Linked DNA regions of Arabidopsis thaliana. The protein of the gene in region 4 interacts with the protein of the main gene of each other region in a pairwise test. Each region holds a gene or a part of one and is shown on either strand. Other genes may lie near its edges.

Region 1 (5,871 bases), about 15 Mb from region 4:
CAATAGAAAGACCTTTAGGCAAAAAAAAAAAAAAAAAAACTAGTCGTGAACAATAAGTTATACAACAAATGAAATCTCGTCCCACGCGCTGCAAGTCTTTTCAATTTTAAATTTATGCAAAAATCCCCGAAAAGGAGGGTTATAGTCCACGGATTATAGTCTCACGCGCCGAAACGCGCCTGTGATGCGAGTGGTTTTGTATTTTAAATTCCTACACGCGTGTAGTTCTGTTTTAATCTTTAATTGATAGAATTATTTCGGGTCCAATTCCGACGCTAATTCAGACCCAATGGGCTTTAAATTCTGTCAAGTGTCAACCTTTGGGATTGGATAAACGATTGACGATTCTCTCCAGAGAATAACCAAACCCTCATAATTGGGCCTCATAATGAGAGCTTGGCACCACATTACATATGATAACATTAACCCAACGATCTCGAAAAAAGCATTCAAATTCTTAATCTTGACTTCAAAGTCAAATTTCCTAGTCGATAATGATATCTTCCTTGATTTTTTAAGTTTCTGGACTTGGCCATGAAAATCAGAATTGGAGTCGAAATATACGAAATCGGAAGTGTTTATTCAAAGAGAAACATAGAACGATTATGGTTGTGATCGGTAAAAGATGTCTGAATAAATTAATTTCTATACAAATTCATTATTTCTTTTTAGTCGTTGATTTAAAGTTTGTGGAGTTTCAATGGTTAGACAAGCGGTCGTGGATTAATCACTTCTTCTCAATCCTTTATTTCTTCCCTAATCATAGTTGCTCTCTAGTGAATAAGTAAAGAAAATGGCTCACCCTCCCTCTGCCAATCTTCCTGCTTCCCCTCTAATAACGGGGTAACTATATGTTACAATCAAATAAATAAATGGGTATTCTAAGTCTTTAAAACCAATGGTTTCATTCATCAATCAATCTTCTATTTCAACACCACCATCGTTTTCCTCCTCCGTTGTGTTCTCCGCCGGTGAGGTCTCTTCTTTAAATAATTCTTCACTCCCCATGAGCTTTTCATATAGCTACCAAATCCAATATGATAACATTATCAAAACCATAACTTAATGAGATAACTGCTGTAAGGAGCTTCTACTAACCTTCACGGCTGATTCCACTATCTCATTGTAGTTCAAGTTTCCATCTGGACTAGGCATGGAACTGATCGTACCTCCAAATTCACCCTGATCCAAATCAAACTTTTATTTAGTGAAAATGACATTACCAACGTCGAAATGAAAAGGTAAATTCCCAATCACATTTTCCACCTTGACTAGCTCTTGCACGTACAGTGCTCTCCAGAGTAGAATAGGTTTTGTCTCAGAAGTATCATTCTCAACAACGGAATCGCTTTGACGATTCTCGGGAACAGGCAAACTGATGAGATTACTCATGGCTGATAATAGCGCCTTTATCCCTTGGTCATCATTGTCGCACAAAGTTGAAAGATATAAAACATGCCTGCAGCAGCAAATATATATGGCTTAGAGAACAGTTAAAGCTAAGCAAATGGAAAGAAACAGAACTAAAATGGGAAAAGATCATCTTAGGCTAAACCACAACTTACATGTCAGCAGGACAAACCGCTAAACCACTACCAAGCTGCAGAACCCGAATTGCAGTTAGCTGTTCTGGAAACAAAGCTAAGAGGAAAAAACTATTAATGTTAGAACCTTCAAAACGCAAAAGACGATATACATGTAAGTGAAACAACTAACTAGTGGGTCTTCAAAAATTAGCTTACATTTAGGTGGATAAACGACAAGAGCGTTTGATACATTAGCTTTCACAGAACCTCTAATGACGCATACTCCTCTTGCAATTTTCTCCTTATTGATCATCGACTTTGGGACAAGAACACTGAGAGTTTCATTTTGCTGATCTGTCAATGACGACAGAGACTCTAATCCAACAGTAACACATGGATCCAGAATCAACTTTTGGCTGAATATCTCTTGACCAGAAGCTAATCTAACCCCTTTGTAACCCCCAGTTTCCTGCAAAAAGAGTTTAAAATAATCAAGTAAGAATCCTTTCCGTCAACTAAACTTATCTTATGCTACAACTGTCAGCTAACTTGCCTTGTCTAAAAGCAGAGCAGTAATAGGCATCCGGAGAACCTGTGAAAACAATGAAAGACTAAATAAGTAACAAATACCACAACAGCAACACAGTACACAATGCAGAAAATTGTTCCAAACGTACATAGATACATCCTTTGACAGCAGCCCGACGACAAAAGGCTTGTGGAAGTTCTCCTTGTCCATAAATTGGGTATATCAACGCCCCAAGTGCGTTAGAAAACCTAAGGTAGAGAATCAAAAGCTAAATTATACTCAATATAACCAATGATAATGTAAACCAATAAGAAAGATGATCACAAATGTGTAAGAGCCAGGAATGAGAAAATGATGAATGACCTGCCCATAGATGTGATGTATAGAGCCAATCGATCTATCCCCTCTTTGGTCTTGAGTAAATGTCTACAAGTTTCCGTATTGTCTTGATCATAATCTAGCATCGCAATGGCATACAAGATGATCCTACACAGAAGAAGAGGAAACAAAGCCTTACCTATCAACATTTCAGAGACAAAATTCTAAGAAGCATTAAGCAGAGACAAATGTCCAAAGAGCTGCCATTAACAGAGAAGGAGGTTATACGATTTGATTTTGGGTGGTAAACGCATCTTTGACAAGAAGTCCACAAATGGACTCTCCATATCTTCCTCCGATATCTTGACTGTTGTTGAATCATCTTTTTCGGTAGAAGAAGCCAAGTGACTTTGAACAAGCTTGAAGAATTTCATGAGCTGATTCTTCTCCAACAGAGTCAAGCTCTTGTCCTTGAATATAGCAGCTCTCGAATCCGGCACATTTCGTAGCTCACCGCTCGAATCCCCAACGAAGCTGGCATCGATGCTCTTGAACTCAACGTAGTTGTTAGCTCCTGATTTCAGCATGAGATTAATTGATTCATCGGCACAGAAGACAACCCTAGGACCAGCCAAGTCAACGTTGAATCTTCTAGAGTGTTCTTCGAGGATCTCCGATTCGAAGCTCGAAATCTCCACGGAGGAATACAAGGATCGGTTAACGAGATCCACGGAGATAAAATCATGGTTGTTTGACGGAGGGAGAGGAGGAGATGACGGCGACGGAGGAGGAGAAACGGAGTTTGAGTGAAGGAAAGAAGTGAGATCGGGAAGGGAAAGAGAGGCGAAGTGAGAGCCGTAGAAGGGGTTAGGGTCGAGGTGGAGAACAGAACTACCGGAGGAGGAAGCAGCGGCGGCTAAGACGGACTCAGAGACTCCGGTGCCGACGACAATGAGATCGTAGTTGGAAGGATCAAGCGGCGGGTAAGGAGGGATGTCGATCATGGTGGCTCGAACAGATTTGTGTATCAAAAGTCGAACCAACGTGACTTCAGTAGCTTGATCGATACACGAGCGTTGAATAATCTGGGAAGATGTTGAGATGAGTGAGGAGAATCGAGGAAGAGGTTCAAGAGAAGAAGAAGTTTCTTCTTACATTACATATACAAACGTAATGGGCCTAAGATGTAAATGAATAAAAGAGGTAAGTGTGAATCGGCCCAACATGGCCCATCTTCTTAATCAACGCATAGACTATAGGGTCTACTGTTTTTCTTATGTTAGAAACTTAAAATATGATTTTTTTTTTTATATAAACGGTTTAATTGAAGAAAATAGAGTTTATACTTTCTTCGTTCACTTTACTGGTCAGTGGTCCACTTATAATGTGATTTTTTGAACTATTTTCTTTGTTGAATATAAAAGAATTTTATATATCTTGAAAAAAAAAAGTGTTAGATAAAGATTGCGAAGATTTCTTTTGTTTGTTGTGATTATGAAAATCTTCTAACCACTTTTAACTAATAATAGAGATATACCACATTCTTCTGGATAAAAGCAGATTTAACTAACTAAATAAAAGAAATCGAAAAACGAATTCACGACGACTATTAAATCTCCGAAACCCCATAGTCCTAGTAAAAACACACACACGATGGAGAAGAAGATTAGTGATATGGATGTGTTTGTTTGCAGAGGAATATGGTATATAATGACTCTACTCTCACTTTTTGGCCTCTCCAAATCACTCAATCTTCTCTGGCCACCTGGAGATTCATCGTCTCAGTCCTTTAGGGACGGTGCGGTCAGTGTCACAACATTCTACGCAGTGACGCTACTCAGATATCTTTTTTTCACCGCTCCTCCTTCCGCTTGCTACAAGGAGTTTACTACAAAGTTGGAGAGAGTACCTCAGGTTTTGTTTTCGACATTTTCCGCAAATTTAGCGTTGGCATTGCCCTTAATATATGAGCTATTGACAAACAAAGAGTTTGAATTGTCCATGTCGTTATTCACCATCTCGTTGTTCACCGGAGGGTTAGGGCTGATTCAGCTATCGGATAAGTTTAGGATGGAGATCGGACATGCTTTGTACACGCTCTTCCTCGGTTGGTTATCTTGTCTCTTTAGCATGTCTAACAATCTATACCGGGGTGACTATAAGGTACTGTTATTGTTTTTAATATCAGTACCTCATTTTTTGCTTTCCTTTGGGCCCGCGTATAATTTCTCCAAATGGGAAGACTCGGACACTTTCTCTGCCTACCGAGCAATAGAGGACAAGCTTGACACACATGCTATGACTACACTTTCTATCTAAGTATATCAATGTTTCCTTACATTAAAGTAATGGCTTTTGCAAGTCCATCATATTTTACTTTGATGTAAGATTAATCTGGATTTTATAGCTATACAATTACTCATATGGATTTCCTTTAACTTGTAATAGACAATAATAAGTCTTAACATCATCGTGAACAGAAACACAAATAAACAAGAAAGAACACCTTATTCATAAATAAATATACAGAAAGATGACATTACAGCAACATTGTATGCATCTACCTCTGATTTCTATCTTCGTATATCTACCATATCGCGTAGTTCAACTCCTATGAATTCATTCGAATAGTCCACTCTGGTCCGGTTCAGAAGTGCTTCACACCTGTTTGTTTCCAGTGAAATAATAAAACGTGAGATGGTTCAATCGAATATGAGAGGATGACATTCGTCCTCGCTTTGTGTATGCACTAACATATCAATGAACTCAAGTACCAGGGAAAAAAAAGCTTTCTCCCACACAAAAAGATAAAATTTTGACTTACCAGTTTTTGGGGAATTGTGATAAGAATAAATGAGAAAAAGTAGAGACAAGTGCAGATTATGAGTGCTGAGATCGTGTTGTAGACAAGGCGTTTGTCGTCCTTGGTTGGTATGAAGGCTGTTTTCAAAGTGTTGGTAAGCTCAAAGAGCCTATAAGAGATCTGAAAACAGAGCAACAAAAAGCCAATCAGTTTGTTTGTATCTGTCTGGCTTTCAACTTGTTTCTATCTGTTGTAGCAGGGTTTGCTTACAGCGACGTAAATCGAAGTAGTGAGCATGAAGTTCAACAATGGGTAATCCGGGACAAGAGATAGTAGTAATTTGGGTTGACCATCAGGAACTCCAGATCTGTGGGTGAATTAGATTATTTCATAGTTCAATGGGTCAGGAAAAATCTTAATAGCTTATTGTATTAGCATGCTCCACCATCAATTTCCCACTTACTCTACAATTGAGAACTTGGGCAAGAAAAGTGTGACATACCTGAGCCATATATGAAACTGGGAGATATATGTCTCCAGTGTTATCTTTCCAAGCCACCTGAAAGTTCATGAACAAATTTTTCTTGAAAAAATCGTTATAAGAGGATAAACATATCTATTGACTGAATTATTTTTTACTTACGCCAGAAGGGTCAAACTGTAGCCGCGGAAAGACTGGGTGATGTTCCGGAGAC
Region 2 (4,024 bases), on a different chromosome or scaffold from region 4:
ATAGGACAAATACTGAGCAAGAAGCTACTTCTTGCAGAGGATTCAGATATGAATGTTGCTAATGAGAGAAGAAAAATGTCGTTGGGTCAGATGCTTGCAAAGAATAGCAGTAGTGATAAAACTGTAAGCAAGAGAAGTGAAGGGAAAGAGAATGAGAAAAGGACGAAGACTCGAAAGAGAAAGAGTTTCGGATTTGCTAAGATCTCTGTGTTGTTGAACAAAGAGAGCAAGAACAAGAAGAAGAAGAAAAAGATAGCTTTGAACTTAAGGTGATATTTTGAATCTGTTGATGACTTCTTTCTGTTTTGTACGTGAACCAGTAGTTTAAGAAAACAAAGTGTATCATCAAGTGCTTTATTATAATGCTAATCTAGGCTAATTAATCCCAATACGACCATATTAGCATTGACAGAGAAACGAAACAGAGAAGATGATGAAGTATGGAATTTTTCAGTAACTTAATTCTATTACAAAGCTTCTTTTATACTCTGAGAGTTAATATGTATACATAGAACAATCAGTTAAGAGACTAACTAAATCATCATATGACTCAAGGGACTAACAAACTTATCATTTTAAACTGAGGTAGTATCTAATATCCAATGAGACTTGGAACATGATTAGGAAACAATGGTTTTGTAAACACATCTCCTAGTTAATTCTCTCTTCGTAAGTGTAGAGCCATGATCAAAGTAGCTTGGATTCTTCTTCTCACAATATGACTTTGGTGCGTTAATGAAACAATGGATTGTTGTTGGCAATGTGTATAGCTGCAGTAGTAGCCACATATGATATAGCATTGACAAATTGCCAAAACACTTGACTCTGCATTCGCCTCTGTTTTGGCCAACTCTCTGACACCTCTTTAAGCCACAAAACCATTGTAGTAGACAAGAGATTTAAATGACTTACATCTCAAGAAATCAACAAGACTGCCTAATCAATAACGCATTGATCAAAACTACTGAGACTTTCCATCAGCTTTTCATTGAAAGAAAACAAACTGAAAGATTTGAATAAAAGAGTTAAAAGAGTTCACTCCCAAGTCCCAATCACCAACCTCCATGTCCCAGAAGACGCCAATCTCAGCCGCGGCGAAATCTCTTGTGGAGCCGGGAGCGAGACATGGTTATTGGTGTTCTCTGTGTTGAAGATGACTCACCCACCTTTGTGTAATCCTCTGTCTCATAACCATCATCGTTTCTGTTATTGGTTAACTGAAGTCTCCCCTTGAACTGAAGTACTTGTCCACTTCTTGGTGACCAGTTGTGAGATCCCACGATTGAAGATAGGCTTTCCTCCATATGATAGGCTTGTCCAAAGCCACACTGCAGTTACTTGACTAAGAAGCGATTGTGATAAATCATCATCATGAGCCAAGTTCTCAGGCTGAGCTAAGAGAATATTCCCAGTCCTGCTTTTCATCATAAACGAAAGACACTTGACGTACGAGCAGTCATCTGTGATTTTGCTTGAGATTACCATGAGATTAGTTGGTATACGTGTCCGGTCAACTGTCCATAACATAAGCTCCTCCAAAAATCATAGAATGTATCCATTACCTTAATAAATCTTGATTAAATAGTAATATACCGTTATCGGAAAAATAAAATTCAATATAATAGTTTCATTCACTTTTAAAATTTTGGAAAAAATAGATATAAATATAAAACTCTTTAACATTTATCTCCCTAAAACACGAGATTTAACCTAATATAGATCATAATTAAATCAAATAATAATAGGAAAACCAAAAAGGAAAAGAGTCACGTTTATTGTCGGTGACCCGTAGCAACGAAAGAAATAGGAAGGTCAACAATTTTCTCATACCCGTATATAAAACAAATCTATCTCTCCTTCCCTCTTTAATTTATTAATCAGATCTTGCCCAATTCTTCAATTTCTTCAACCCTAATTCTTCTCTCTTTCTCAGATCTACCAAACTTGATCTCCAATGGCTTCCTCAGCACCACCAGTCCTCCCAATCTCCAATCCCCAAACCGTTCCATCCGCCGCTCCTTCCTCCGTCGAATCTCAACCACCGATCGCTACTCCAGCTTTCCGCAATTTCATCAATCAGATCACCGAAACCGTTAAAAACGGTCTCTCTAAGCGTCGTCCTTGGGCTGAGCTCGCGGATCGTTCCGCATTATCCAAACCTGAGTCGATCTCCGACGCTGCTGTTCGTATCCGCAAGAATTACTCGTATTTCAAGGTTAATTACCTCACCGTCGCTACAGCGATCGTCGGATTCTCTCTCGTCACTCATCCTTTCTCTCTCGTCTTCCTCCTCTGTCTCCTCGCGTCGTGGCTCTTCCTCTACTTGTTCCGTCCCACGGATCAGCCGATCGTTCTATTCGGTCGTACATTCTCCGATCGTGAGACGTTAGGGTGTTTGATTTTGTTCAGTATCTTTGTGATCTTCCTCACCGATGTTGGATCTGTTCTGGTTTCGGCTATGATGATTGGTGTTGCGTTGATCTGTGCTCATGGTGCTTTTAGAGCTCCGGAAGATCTTTTCCTTGATGAGCAAGAGCCTGCTGCTACCGGATTCCTCTCTTTCCTCGGTGGTGCCGCCTCTTCAGCCGCGCCTGCTGTTATCGCCGCTCGCGTGTAAATGCGATTCCGATCTACCATTCCCTCGCCTGGGTAAATCTTTCTATATGATTCATTTGTTGAATTTGATACTTAGATTTTGTTTTTTTAATCTGAAAACAATAAACGTGAAAATGTTGTGGATCTGGCCTAATTTTGGTTCTTGTTCATGGGCAATAGCTATAGATGAAATATATATCTTTGCATGATTTTGATTTGATGAAGTTTTACTACCGTTTTGTGTTAATCTTTAGCCTTTTTTAATTTACAAGTGTTGTTTTGGAAGATATGGATTTATTTCATGATCAAATTCAAAATGCAATGGATCTGTTTATTAGAACTTGTAGCCATCTTTTGATTTGTTATGTGACTACATTGCACTGCGTGTATACAATCAAAAGAGTCAAATTTGGATGCATGTGCATGCAAGATCCATCCAAATTTCACCAGTTTTCAAAAGCACCCATCATAAGACAGACCTGGATCAGAGTCGTAGGATTTAACGAAAGGAAATTACTTCCTATTGAGGATGAGCAGCAGAACAATATCCACATTACGCATTTACGCTACTTGACTTGACTTGAAATCGTGGGTCGGAGCAAATGCGATGCACAAATAATTCGATGAGCAGCTTTAGTATTGGGCTTCGTACTCGAGTCCGGCCCAGTATAAGCTCATTTACTTCTTTTCGAGTCCAGTTCGGCAAAGGCCCAATGTCTATGAAATATCGAATTGGTGGCGTATACCCTAAGCCAACAAGGAAGCTTCGTTTTAAAAATGATTTGTTACTTACCTAAAATTAATAGTATTGGGTGACAATCCACCTTACATTCTTATCTTTTTAAGGGTTTTAGCTTACGGTATAAGTCACCAATTTGACATCTTCCATCAACGAAAATTAGTAAATTACAAAAAAGTACAAAGTCTTAGTCGCAAATATCTCTATAACCAAAAGCAAAGCAATATCCTAAGTTGTATTGACCTCGGAAACTAGAATCTCCTTGAACTTGGGATTTGTCAATGCCAGTGACTTAGAAATTGTTCTTTGCGAAGGCAAAAGCTACAGTTTGTTAGTTGGCGCGCAATTTGAGCTGGGAAGAGTCCAATGAGAGTACCAAAAGTCTCGGACTAAACGTCTTCAAAAAAGTAACCATGGAATAATAATTTATTTTTATAGTATAGTTTGAAACAAAGAAAAAAAGAAACACGTTTGTCAGAAAAGTAATAAGTGGAAGATGTCAAATTGCTGGCTTGCACCGTAAGCCAAAAAAACACTGAAAAAGTAAAATTTCAATTTAAGGTGGATTGGTGCCCAAGACTTACAATATCTATTTCTTCACGATATTTACGATAATTTTCAAAGTCTTAGCCGCAAAGAAATCTATAATGACCAAAACATATTGAAAAACAAATCCTAGCATACCAGAAT
Region 3 (4,863 bases), on a different chromosome or scaffold from region 4:
CTGATTGAATGAATCATTGGTTAAAAACAAGAACGGTTCGGTTCGGGTCAGGGGTTGGTTTACCATAGTTAGTGAAAAGTTGGTTAATGAATACGGTTTAATCAAAATGACTGTACTTGGCTTTCACTGTTTCATCTTTTCTTTCTTTTTTGTCGTCACTGTTCATCTTTAAGTTTTTTTGCTTTTGAAAGTAAATGGTTAAATGATGACAAAAAAAAAAATAATGGTTGTTGTAAAAAAAGTTATCTACTTTAATCGGAAAAATAATAAATTTAAAAATCCAGTCATTGAACATAAAACTAAAAACAGAAATGTCAGAAGTGGGGTTTGAACCCACGCCCTCTTACGAGGACCAGAACTTGAGTCTGGCGCCTTAGACCACTCGGCCATCCTGACTTTTGATATTGTTTTCTACTACAAACTATATATAGTGATTAACACCTAGTTGTCTACCTTACGTATGTTGCTTACTTTAAGTAATTATCCAGATTTGATGGTTATCATACCGAAAGCGTTTGGTATTGTGGAATCCACTTTTTGTGTGATTATTTTTGTCGAGAAATCGTGAAATCGCAATTTTGGCAAAAGAATTATGAACAAATTTTTTTGGAAAATTATCAAATTGCGTTTAACCTAGTTCATATACCAATCATTTTAGCTTTTCCTATGAACAAGATGTTGAGATGATGAAAGAGATGGAATGGGAAGAATATTATTAGTCAAATAAAAACAAGAAAGATTCTTATGAACTAAAGTTAGATCGCAGTAGCAGTGAAGAGCGAAAAACCCACGAAACAATTTGAGTTTATGTGTATGGACCAATCCTCAGACATGATGCAAAATTGACATGACGAATACCATCATGGAGAGCTGTTAAAAGGATGAGAAATTAACTAAGACAAATAACTAACAACAATAATTATCATCCATCCGTGTTCTCTCATAATCTAAATATTTTTAGTTAAAACCCCCAAATTTATAATGAACATAATAATAACAAGAGATCAAAGGGTTTATCAACCAACAGCTTCTAACAAAACATGTCTTGAACCATTACTACGATTCCAATGAGAGAGTAACTCACATTCCTTAATCCTTCTTCTTGTTCAGAGCTCCTCTTGGAATCTTGCTTATGACCTTACGCAATACCTTCTCATCAAGTACTGCATATTGCTTTTTGATCTCCCTCATCGCCTTCTCCCCATAGGCATCTACTTTGTCCTCATACTTCTCGTAGAGTACAGGAATGGTGAAGAGAAGGACAGTAGCTGGAAGCAAGAAAGAAAAGCTGGTTATCAAGATATGCAAGTATGATTCCTATCAGATTAAATGCAGTAAGATGTAAATGAATCGTTACCAGTGTAGAACAATGTCAAGAAGTTGTAGCAGCTGCCAATAATGGACAAAACCCACAAGCCAGCAATTACCTAAAACATGTGCAAGCAAGTATTAGCATTTATGAGGAACATAAGAAAACCGCTTTGCATCGAGGTAGATAACATGAACAATACCAGGATAAATTTCTTGACATCTTTTCCTGATGCAATGTTCCTAAGAAGGGTCAAACCACGATTGATTTCAATCCTTAATCCAGAAACAAGTTGAAGAATAGGATCTTCAGGGATGTGAACTTCCGGGATGTGAGGAGTTGACCTGAGGATAAGAACTCAGTTGATCAGGCAGTTATCTCATACTTAACACTTAACATATAAGGGATGTTGTAAGAACATACTTGTGGATGAATGTACAAGCATTAGACCACAAGAACAATGCTGCAAGAGCAAAAATCGCAAAGTGACAGAGAAAAGCGAGGAGATGGTATTCGAATAACTCGAATAAGACCCAAGACGCAGTTACAGCACCCAAGACTCCACCAGATACCTTCTTGTTCCTCCAAAGGAATATATCAGCAGCTACATGCAAACAATGAATCCAGATTCAACATAGTTTCTGAGTATTTCACAAGATTTAAGCGTACTTTCGAGCAAAGCAGACAATTAAGCACTCAAATACACTCAATTTTAGCTTCAAATTAGAGCAACATTCACTAGATCGAGCAAAATCACTATGTAAGATACAAAATCGAGTAAAATCAGAGTTCAAAGTGAAGAAATAGAGATAGATCCATACGTTTTCCACCACCGAGAACCTTGTGAACAGGTTTCTCCCTTCCGAAAAGTCGGTAAATCTTTGACTTGAAGGACGACGACGAAGACGATGTAGATTTCTTATCGTCGTCGGAATCGGACAGAGAAGACGAGTCACCGTGGCCATGGATCTTCTCAACAATCTTCTCCAAGATCGATTCCTCGTGCTTGTGGTCTTCCACCATTTTTGTTGATTCTACAAACCTCCGAGAAGAAGAAAAAAAAACCTAAAACTCTTTACTGATTGAAGAGTGTGGGAGGAGACTGTGACGAATAAAAGCGTGTGCTTCAGATTTAATCCCACCCCTTGATTTAAAACATTTAATCCAGTCCGTTTGATTCGGGTCTGGGCCTCGAGTAGGTAACCGTCCACGGTGGAAAATCAAACTATTTATTTTGTAGCAGATGTAACATATTTGGCGTGGAACTAACGGTCGTTAATTAATGTGAATATTCCCGATAACGTCTCCGTTAGTGGAACGTTAGATGTCGGCGGATAGGATCCAGCATTGGGCCCATTTATGGGATTGTTGGTACAGTATTAAGGCCCATTTATTACTGATCCATTTCATAGTAAAAATAAAAAATTGTTAGGCATAGTAAAATTGTTATGAGAATATGTTGATAGAATGAAAATGCTCCTAGATGAAAGATGATCATACACCTGTTGATTAAACATTACAAGGTCACAGATTATATATATTGACATCTCAAAAATTAACCAAGACGCTGCGTTTTGGAGATATTGGATTTCGAAGACCCGGAAGATAAGAGGAGAATAGTCAGTGACTCTCACGCACGTGGGGTTTGAATTGATGACTCTGGTCTCTTGGCCTCGAGATCTAACTTCTTCCGTGGGATCCAATTTTGAGCTGAGTCATGACACGTGTTACAACACGTGTGCTCCACTGTGTCGACATCACTCTTGAAGGTAAGATTTTTTGGAGTAATGGCAAACCCAGAGATCAACAAAATCAGGTTTGACAATGAAAGCTCACTTATTTATTTATGTACTTTTCCAATAATTTGATTAGTCCAAATATATTATTCTATTTGGATATTCATTCATATACATAATTACATACACATGCAGTGTTAGAAGTGAGTTTAATATGGAAGATTCGTCGTCTAGTGTGACATGAAATTCCACCATTTCATATAATTAGATTTTCTTCTTATATATATAATTTTATGCATCTAATCGTGTGGATGAGAATTGTCCTTCACCTAACCAACCTTTTCGAAGAAAAAGAGAGATTTGTTTCTTAATATATCTTCAGAAAGAGAGAGAGATTCGATGACAAAAAGGATAAGAGATTCTTGGAGACCTCAAAAATCTACTATCGTGGGTCTAAGAAGATTACGTGGCTCGTTTTAAGACCCTTGCATAATCTTAAAGTTCTTACCTATTTTTTTTTTTTTGTCGTAAAGTTCTTACCTAATACAGTAATATATTTTTATATTGTATAAAATATTATACATTAATTAATCAAAAAAAAATTCCAATTCAATCCTGAAACAGTGAAACCCATGCGTGCCAAAGCCAAAAATCTGACTACCTTGCTAAGTGCTAATCATTACCCAATCAGAGTTCATATCAGGAATATACCATATCCATAAGAGCTATATACTAATTACTTGCAAAAGTTTGCACCAAACCTTACTACGTACAAAAGAAAAGATCGTAGATGGTCAAAATTGTGGCTTACTATAATGGCTTATTATATAGTTATTTTTAGATAGCTAAATTTCTTGTATATACAATTTTGAGTTTTACGTATAGAAAAAAATATCATATTTGAGTTTGGTAAAAAGGATGAGTAAATAATTTGGAGATTTCAACCTTCATGTTAAGTTTTCATTTTCGATTAATTTTATCTAATTTTTTATTTTAATTTCTTTGATAACCAAACAATGTAATTTAGACTAATCCTTTTGGACTTATAAAACAAAAACAATTTACTATATATGCAAGCTGTAATAGGGTGATTTGAGTTCTAGTCCACTAAATGTAAATGTTACGTACGTTAAATTTGTATTTGTAATGTGATAAAAAAAAATCTAATGACCTGTATTCATTAACTTAAAAAAAATTCTAATTAACTTATAGAATGGTATAATATCTTATCATATTGTATTATTTTTCAAATAACACTAAAAATTTTGACTCATAATTAATAAAACGTTTAAAGCTTTTTAGGTGAAATTCTTATTTTTATATTTTGTAGAATAGTACAGTTTTGTCACTAAGTATTATTTGTGGTCGCATTTAAATATCAAGTAGCGATATTTAAAAACTTTGCAAGTTGATATAAAGAAGAAAAAAATTATAATATAATAAGACAATGATATAATATAACAAAGCTAATATCTTTCATCCACACACATATATATTAGATCTATATATATATATCTCATATGTATACCTAACCTTACCATATTTGTATTGAGAATTGAGATTAATTAGATCTGTAAAACTCTCTTAAAATAGTTAACCAAGAACACCAAAACTACAAAAATGTTCCCTTTCTTGAAGCAACGGTCGAGGTCGGTCCACGGTGAAGATGCACCGTCATCTACAGAGTCCACAGTCTCCGTCGCTGCCGCAGATATTGGAGGAGCGTGTACGACACTCACGGTGTGGAGAAAATCGCTTCTGGTGAGTTGTGAAGGATTCACGGTGATAGATTCGAATGGAGATTTGATTTACCGGGTC
Region 4 (5,239 bases):
GAATTGGAGAACACGACGGAAGAAAGAAACGTGTTTTCCGATGCAAGACTTGTGAGAGAGACTTCGATTCGTTCCAAGCTTTAGGAGGCCACCGTGCAAGCCACTCGAAACTAACCAACAGTGACGATAAATCACTTCCTGGATCACCAAAGAAGAAGCCTAAAACTACGACTACGACGACGGCTCATACTTGTCCGATTTGTGGCTTGGAGTTTCCGATGGGACAAGCTCTTGGTGGTCACATGAGGAAACATAGGAACGAGAAAGAACGAGAAAAGGCTTCTAACGTATTGGTTACGCATTCTTTCATGCCGGAGACGACAACGGTGACGACTTTGAAGAAATCGAGTAGTGGGAAGAGAGTGGCGTGTTTGGATTTCGACTTAACTTCGGTGGAGAGCTTTGTCAACACGGAATTGGAGTTGGGAAGAACGATGTACTGATTTTTCATGTTCGTTAGGGTTTTAGTTTTATTGATAATCTTACATAGAGTAGTACTTTTTACATGGTTTTAGTCTTTGTTGATCCATTTATCTTACTATTCGATGTGAATACATGATCTGAATACAATCTGATATACTATTCAAGATTTATTTTCTTGTTCGCTAAATTTTGGTTTCACGTTTTATTAACCCTAGAATGTTGTTGAACTATGAGAATGGTTTAACTGGTGTTGAAACTACAATATAAGTGTCAGCTATAGTAACTGTAGTGCAACTAAAACATGATAAGTTTCTTCATCACTGGATTGCTAACACAATTATACGTTTACGACTCATAAATCAGGCAGTGTACATATTATGGTTTTGTATTGCTTATGGTTGTGTCAAAGATGAGTTTACGAGTATTAGAAGTAATGTTTAAAGACTTGATAAAAGAGGAAGCAAGAGAAAAATTAAGAACAGAGGATATATAGAGAGAAGTGATGACCAACATAAACAATTCAGTCACCGTCATAAAAAATCAGTAATAGAAAAGAAAAATACAAGTTTCGATTAAACCTTCGTACAAATAGGAAGGACAATTTAGAAGAACGAATCAGAATTGTTGGCATAAAACAAAAAATTACATAAGCACCCAACGATATCTTAGTTTTTCACTTCACCCCCAAACTTTTTTCGACTTAAACTTCACTTTTAAAACTTTTTTAAGTTCCACAGCATGCAGATTTCTGTGTGGCCTGCCCTGCTCCAGCTGCTTGGTCCGTTTGGCTTATCTTGATCGTTGCAGGCTGCAATTGACCACGTAACATGAATGATCAATGCGTTTTCAGACCTAACAACGCAAAGATGTGAAAGAGAGAGATGTAACAAACCTCTGCCCTCGAGTCGGTGTCTGAAAGCCTCTGCTTAATGTCCCTCCCTATTGAGAAGAAAACTTCTTCCACGTTTAGGTTTGTCTTGGCACTCTGCAACAACAACACATATATAGCTAGATGTGTAAGCAATGTAAACACTACCCATCTAGTTTCGAAGATTGAGAGCATTGTTAGACTTACTGTTTCGAAGAACTTAATTCCGTACTCATCAGCAAGAGCCTGACCCTTTGCTGTAGGTACTGCCTGAAAATTTTGACAGGACCAAGAAGCTATTATTATTAGGATCAGTCGTGAATAAGGAACAGGGATAAAGGTGGTGTGCTTCATACCCTCTTGCTTTCATCCATGTCAGCCTTGTTCCCTACCAAGATCTTGTTAACATTATCCGAAGCATGCTGTTCGATATTACGAATCCAGTTCCTAATGTCTGCAATAACGTCAAGAATCGTGTTAGTAAAAGAGATGTTCATTTTGGTTAAGGAGATTTATAGAAACCAGTAAGTGAAAGACTTGATGGTGGGAGTTTTACTGTTGAAGGATGACTCGTCTGTGACATCATACACCAGCAAAATGCCCATTGCCCCACGGTAATAAGCTGCGAAAATGCGAGAGAAAAAGAATCGTCAAAATGGTGTTGAAACAACAGAAACAGATCAGTATAAACTGCCTAAATATCCTAATAATATCAACTAGACAGTACCTACAAAAGTAACCAGCCAAAAAGAGCAAATCAGTAAATTGGCATTGCACAAATGCATCCCCTTTACCTAGAACTATAAGTGGCTATCTTAGACTACTTATAGGCGTTTGTCATCAATCTCATCTTGACAATCTTTCTAACTTGACTTCTATTGTGATGGTGAATGCTAAGCAAAGTGATCAGTGAGTACATTTATACGAAAAGATGAACTATGAAGTGTCGAAAATAGCCCATAAACATCAACTATACAAGACCAAGTAAAGTAATCAGCCAAACAAAATAAATCAGTCAAGTGGCATTGTACAAGAGATCATAGCACATGTAAGTGTTCATCTCCTCGAGAATCTATCTAATCTGATTCATTACTGATGTTGTGAATGCTCTAAGTACTAATCCAGCAAGCAATTCTTATGAAAAAGATGAACTCACCAGTGGTGATAGTCCGAAACCGCTCTTGACCAGCGGTATCCCAAATCTGAAGCTTGATACGTTTACCGTCAAGCTCAATCGTTCTTATCTTAAAGTCAATGCTACATCAAAGCAAAATAGAGAAACAAGACTCTGTAAAAACAGAATCCAAAACAAACATCACAGAATTCAATTTATCTCCATAAGCAAAGAGAAAACACAAACCCAATGGTGGTAATGAAGCTAGTGGTGAAAGATCCATCAGAGAAACGTAGAAGAAGACAACTTTTACCAACACCTGCAACAAAAAAAAAAAACCTTAGGTTACAGAGATCTCTCAATACAAACACCGATCCACACAACGATCTAATCACAAACAAAAATCACAGTGGAATAGATCGATTCAATGGAAATCAAACAGATTCAACAAATTTCAACGGATCGACGATAAAAACATCGGAGAGGTTTCAGATCAACGTACCGCTATCTCCAATCAAAAGAAGCTTAATGAGATAATCGTAATCAGCTCTGGCTCTAGCAGGTGGAGCAGCCATTGAATCTAAAGGAAACAAAAACTCAAAGATCAAAATCTGAGTTTCATCGAAATCGAATTAGATCAAACAAAAGAGGGAGAAATCGAATGAATCGGCTGCGGGAAAGAAGAAGATCATGTACCGGAGAGAGAAGAAAACCGATGTAATCGGAAGAATCAGAGAGCGAAGGTTATGGCGGACGACTAAAATGCGCCAGTTCCCGATTTAGCTTTTGTTTCCCGGCTTCTTCTATTTTACTTCTTCTTCGTCTGCTTCGCGTGCACGATAGGATACACTGCGCACGTTAGTTGGAAACGAAGGAGTGCGCAGAAAAAGAGAGAAGGATTCTTTTTTGAAGGGCCTATATAGAAAGAAGAAGGCACGAAGCCTTATGGGCCTTTTATTAATTACTTTAAAATCAATTAGCTGGACTAAAACAATGCTATAGTAATTTTTATTTTTATATTTGGTATCAAATACTACTACTGTATACTAATGTAATCTGAAGTCATCTTTGGAAATATATACTACTACTATACAACTATACTTTTCAACAATATATAACTCTTTCATAAGAAGTGTGTTGATGTTTATGTTCTTACGCAACTGCATATTTATTAGAGATACATAAACACCACCAGTATTTTCGTTCATTATCATAAAATCTATACTCAAGATGTTCTAAACAAAATCCCCACAAAAGAATTTAAAACTCTCTCAAAAATTAACATAAACTTCCATTGATCAATATGTCACAATGGTAGAATTCAAGAAGAAATCAGAAAGAGAAGCAGGTAACTTATAAGTTTTGTAGTCATCCTTAGTAAAGACATTCTTAGACCATTCAACAAATCCACAAACCTTTCCAACACCGCGTCTCTCAAACGAAATCTCTGCACACCAAATCTCTGTTTTACATTCCTTAGTCCATTTGGGACCTAGACGATGTAACACAGCCGACTCCCACCAAACTGTTACTCTTCTTCCTCGGTCGGAATGTGCCACCGAGGTAAGATAACCAGGAGAAGTTGGCCTATTGGGAAGTCCTTCAAGTCCATCAACCGGACACCACCCACGATCTTCCTCTGGTTCACACCAAACTAACACCCCTTCACAAACCTTTGTTTGGCACATCATGTTCTCTATCTCCACCAAGCAAATATTCTTCTGAAAGTTAAGCTTCAATCCATTCATGTCATAAACTTTCCCACTCATTACCAAGCTACCTGGAACCACACTCATTTGAACAGTAAGATCTAGTGTTGTGGGCAATACTGGCTCCCAAGTTTGGGTCTTTGGGTCATAAACCTCTCCCCAATCCTCGATATTGTTGGAACTAGAGCCTCCAATCACGTAGATCTTATCGTTGATTACATCAGCTGCTGCGTTTTGTCGAGGTACACGCATCTCGGGGAGTCTACGCCATCCATGAGATGGACAATCGAGTACTATCAATCTCCTGCTACTATGTCCATCAACGAAGCCTCCGATTATGTAAATCTTTGAACCGATTGATACAACGGTTGAGGATTGACAAGTAACCGAAGGGATAGGTTTCAGTTTCTGTTTGGTAATCGGGGAAACTATAAACCATCGTGGAGGACAGTCTGGATAGCAATTCCTATGCAGGTCTAAGCAGACGTAGAGGAAACTCTCGGTTTTTCCGATGCAAGATCGTGTTGCGTGGAGCTCACGGGAGTCTAGGAGTGATCGGAAACCCTTGCAGACTAGGGATAGAGTTGGATAATGGAATCTGGAGACACGAGCCAAACAGTTGAGAACGATGTCGTCCGGTAACGAAGAAAACGACGTCGGAGGCGGTGAGTTTGATGATTTATTCTTCTCTTTCGTCGTCATTGTCTTCTTAGTTTTTTTGTTTCTGGTAAACGTCTTCTTAGGTTTTTGATTTAGGGTTTTTGTGCGTTATTAGTTATTTCCTTCAAATTTATTAACGAAGAATACCTAAAATTATACCTATGTAGCATAGAAACCTTGTTGGAAGGAAAACTATTAAATTTTGTTTCTTAGAATTTTAACTTATTTTGTCAGTATTTCTAAAATCTTTTTCGAATTTTCACAGTTCCCTCAGAGATTTGTTTGTATTTTGATGAACATTGTAAATGAAAAACATATTAAAATGTTTTAAGAAAACAAACAAGAAGAGCACGAGACTAAAATGAGTAAATGCCACATATAACGATAAGTCAAGAAAGATGATTTTGATTTCATAAATCGCAAGTCTAACGAATTCAAAAACTGAAATTAATTAGTCTACTCATC

What was found.
Region 1: the proteins of RABE1c (region 4) and REP interact in a two-hybrid assay, tested with the Arabidopsis thaliana proteins (one large-scale study listed by BioGRID).
Region 2: the proteins of RABE1c (region 4) and PRA1.B4 interact in a two-hybrid assay, tested with the Arabidopsis thaliana proteins (one large-scale study listed by BioGRID).
Region 3: the proteins of RABE1c (region 4) and BTI3 interact in a two-hybrid assay, tested with the Arabidopsis thaliana proteins (one large-scale study listed by BioGRID).

The regions. Positions count from the first base shown.
Region 1 is NC_003074.8:2,034,286-2,040,156, forward strand, and holds REP (Rab escort protein), read right to left. Parts: upstream 3,507-5,871; 5' UTR 3,378-3,506; coding exon 2,662-3,377; intron 2,542-2,661; coding exon 2,419-2,541; intron 2,304-2,418; coding exon 2,204-2,303; intron 2,119-2,203; coding exon 2,080-2,118; intron 1,996-2,079; coding exon 1,743-1,995; intron 1,642-1,742; coding exon 1,566-1,641; intron 1,460-1,565; coding exon 1,267-1,459; intron 1,183-1,266; coding exon 1,099-1,182; intron 1,024-1,098; coding exon 916-1,023; 3' UTR 628-915; downstream 1-627. Other genes in the region: AT3G06545 (uncharacterized protein), read left to right, coding at 4,027-4,525, 4,616-4,692; RWA2 (O-acetyltransferase family protein), read right to left, coding at 5,123-5,356, 5,447-5,543, 5,679-5,735, 5,820-5,871. UniProt on the Arabidopsis thaliana protein: Substrate-binding subunit of the Rab geranylgeranyltransferase (GGTase) complex. Binds unprenylated Rab proteins and presents the substrate peptide to the catalytic component composed of the alpha subunit RGTA and the beta subunit RGTB.
Region 2 is NC_003071.7:16,068,433-16,072,456, reverse strand, and holds PRA1.B4 (prenylated RAB acceptor 1.B4), read left to right. Parts: upstream 1-1,792; 5' UTR 1,793-1,954; coding exon 1,955-2,617; 3' UTR 2,618-3,071; downstream 3,072-4,024. Other genes in the region: AT2G38370 (weak chloroplast movement under blue light protein (DUF827)), read left to right, coding at 1-273; AT2G38365 (endonuclease/glycosyl hydrolase), read right to left, coding at 1,207-1,527; AT2G38350 (uncharacterized protein), read right to left, coding at 3,149-3,388. UniProt on the Arabidopsis thaliana protein: May be involved in both secretory and endocytic intracellular trafficking in the endosomal/prevacuolar compartments.
Region 3 is NC_003076.8:16,633,699-16,638,561, reverse strand, and holds BTI3 (VIRB2-interacting protein 3), read right to left. Parts: upstream 2,534-4,863; 5' UTR 2,333-2,533; coding exon 2,131-2,332; intron 1,914-2,130; coding exon 1,733-1,913; intron 1,654-1,732; coding exon 1,512-1,653; intron 1,428-1,511; coding exon 1,358-1,427; intron 1,269-1,357; coding exon 1,090-1,268; 3' UTR 654-1,089; downstream 1-653. Other genes in the region: CHX18 (cation/H+ exchanger 18), read left to right, coding at 1-8; AT5G41590 (LURP-one-like protein (DUF567)), read left to right, coding at 4,666-4,863. UniProt on the Arabidopsis thaliana protein: Plays a role in the Agrobacterium-mediated plant transformation via its interaction with VirB2, the major component of the T-pilus.
Region 4 is NC_003074.8:16,915,649-16,920,887, reverse strand, and holds RABE1c (RAB GTPase homolog 8A), read right to left. Parts: upstream 3,362-5,239; 5' UTR 3,102-3,361; exon of another isoform or gene 2,986-3,101; 5' UTR 2,981-2,985; coding exon 2,908-2,980; intron 2,725-2,907; coding exon 2,652-2,724; intron 2,549-2,651; coding exon 2,448-2,548; intron 1,914-2,447; coding exon 1,848-1,913; intron 1,746-1,847; coding exon 1,648-1,745; intron 1,562-1,647; coding exon 1,499-1,561; intron 1,409-1,498; coding exon 1,316-1,408; intron 1,232-1,315; coding exon 1,148-1,231; 3' UTR 870-1,147; downstream 1-869. Other genes in the region: AT3G46070 (C2H2-type zinc finger family protein), read left to right, coding at 1-443; AT3G46050 (Galactose oxidase/kelch repeat superfamily protein), read right to left, coding at 3,704-4,816. UniProt on the Arabidopsis thaliana protein: Involved in membrane trafficking from the Golgi to the plasma membrane.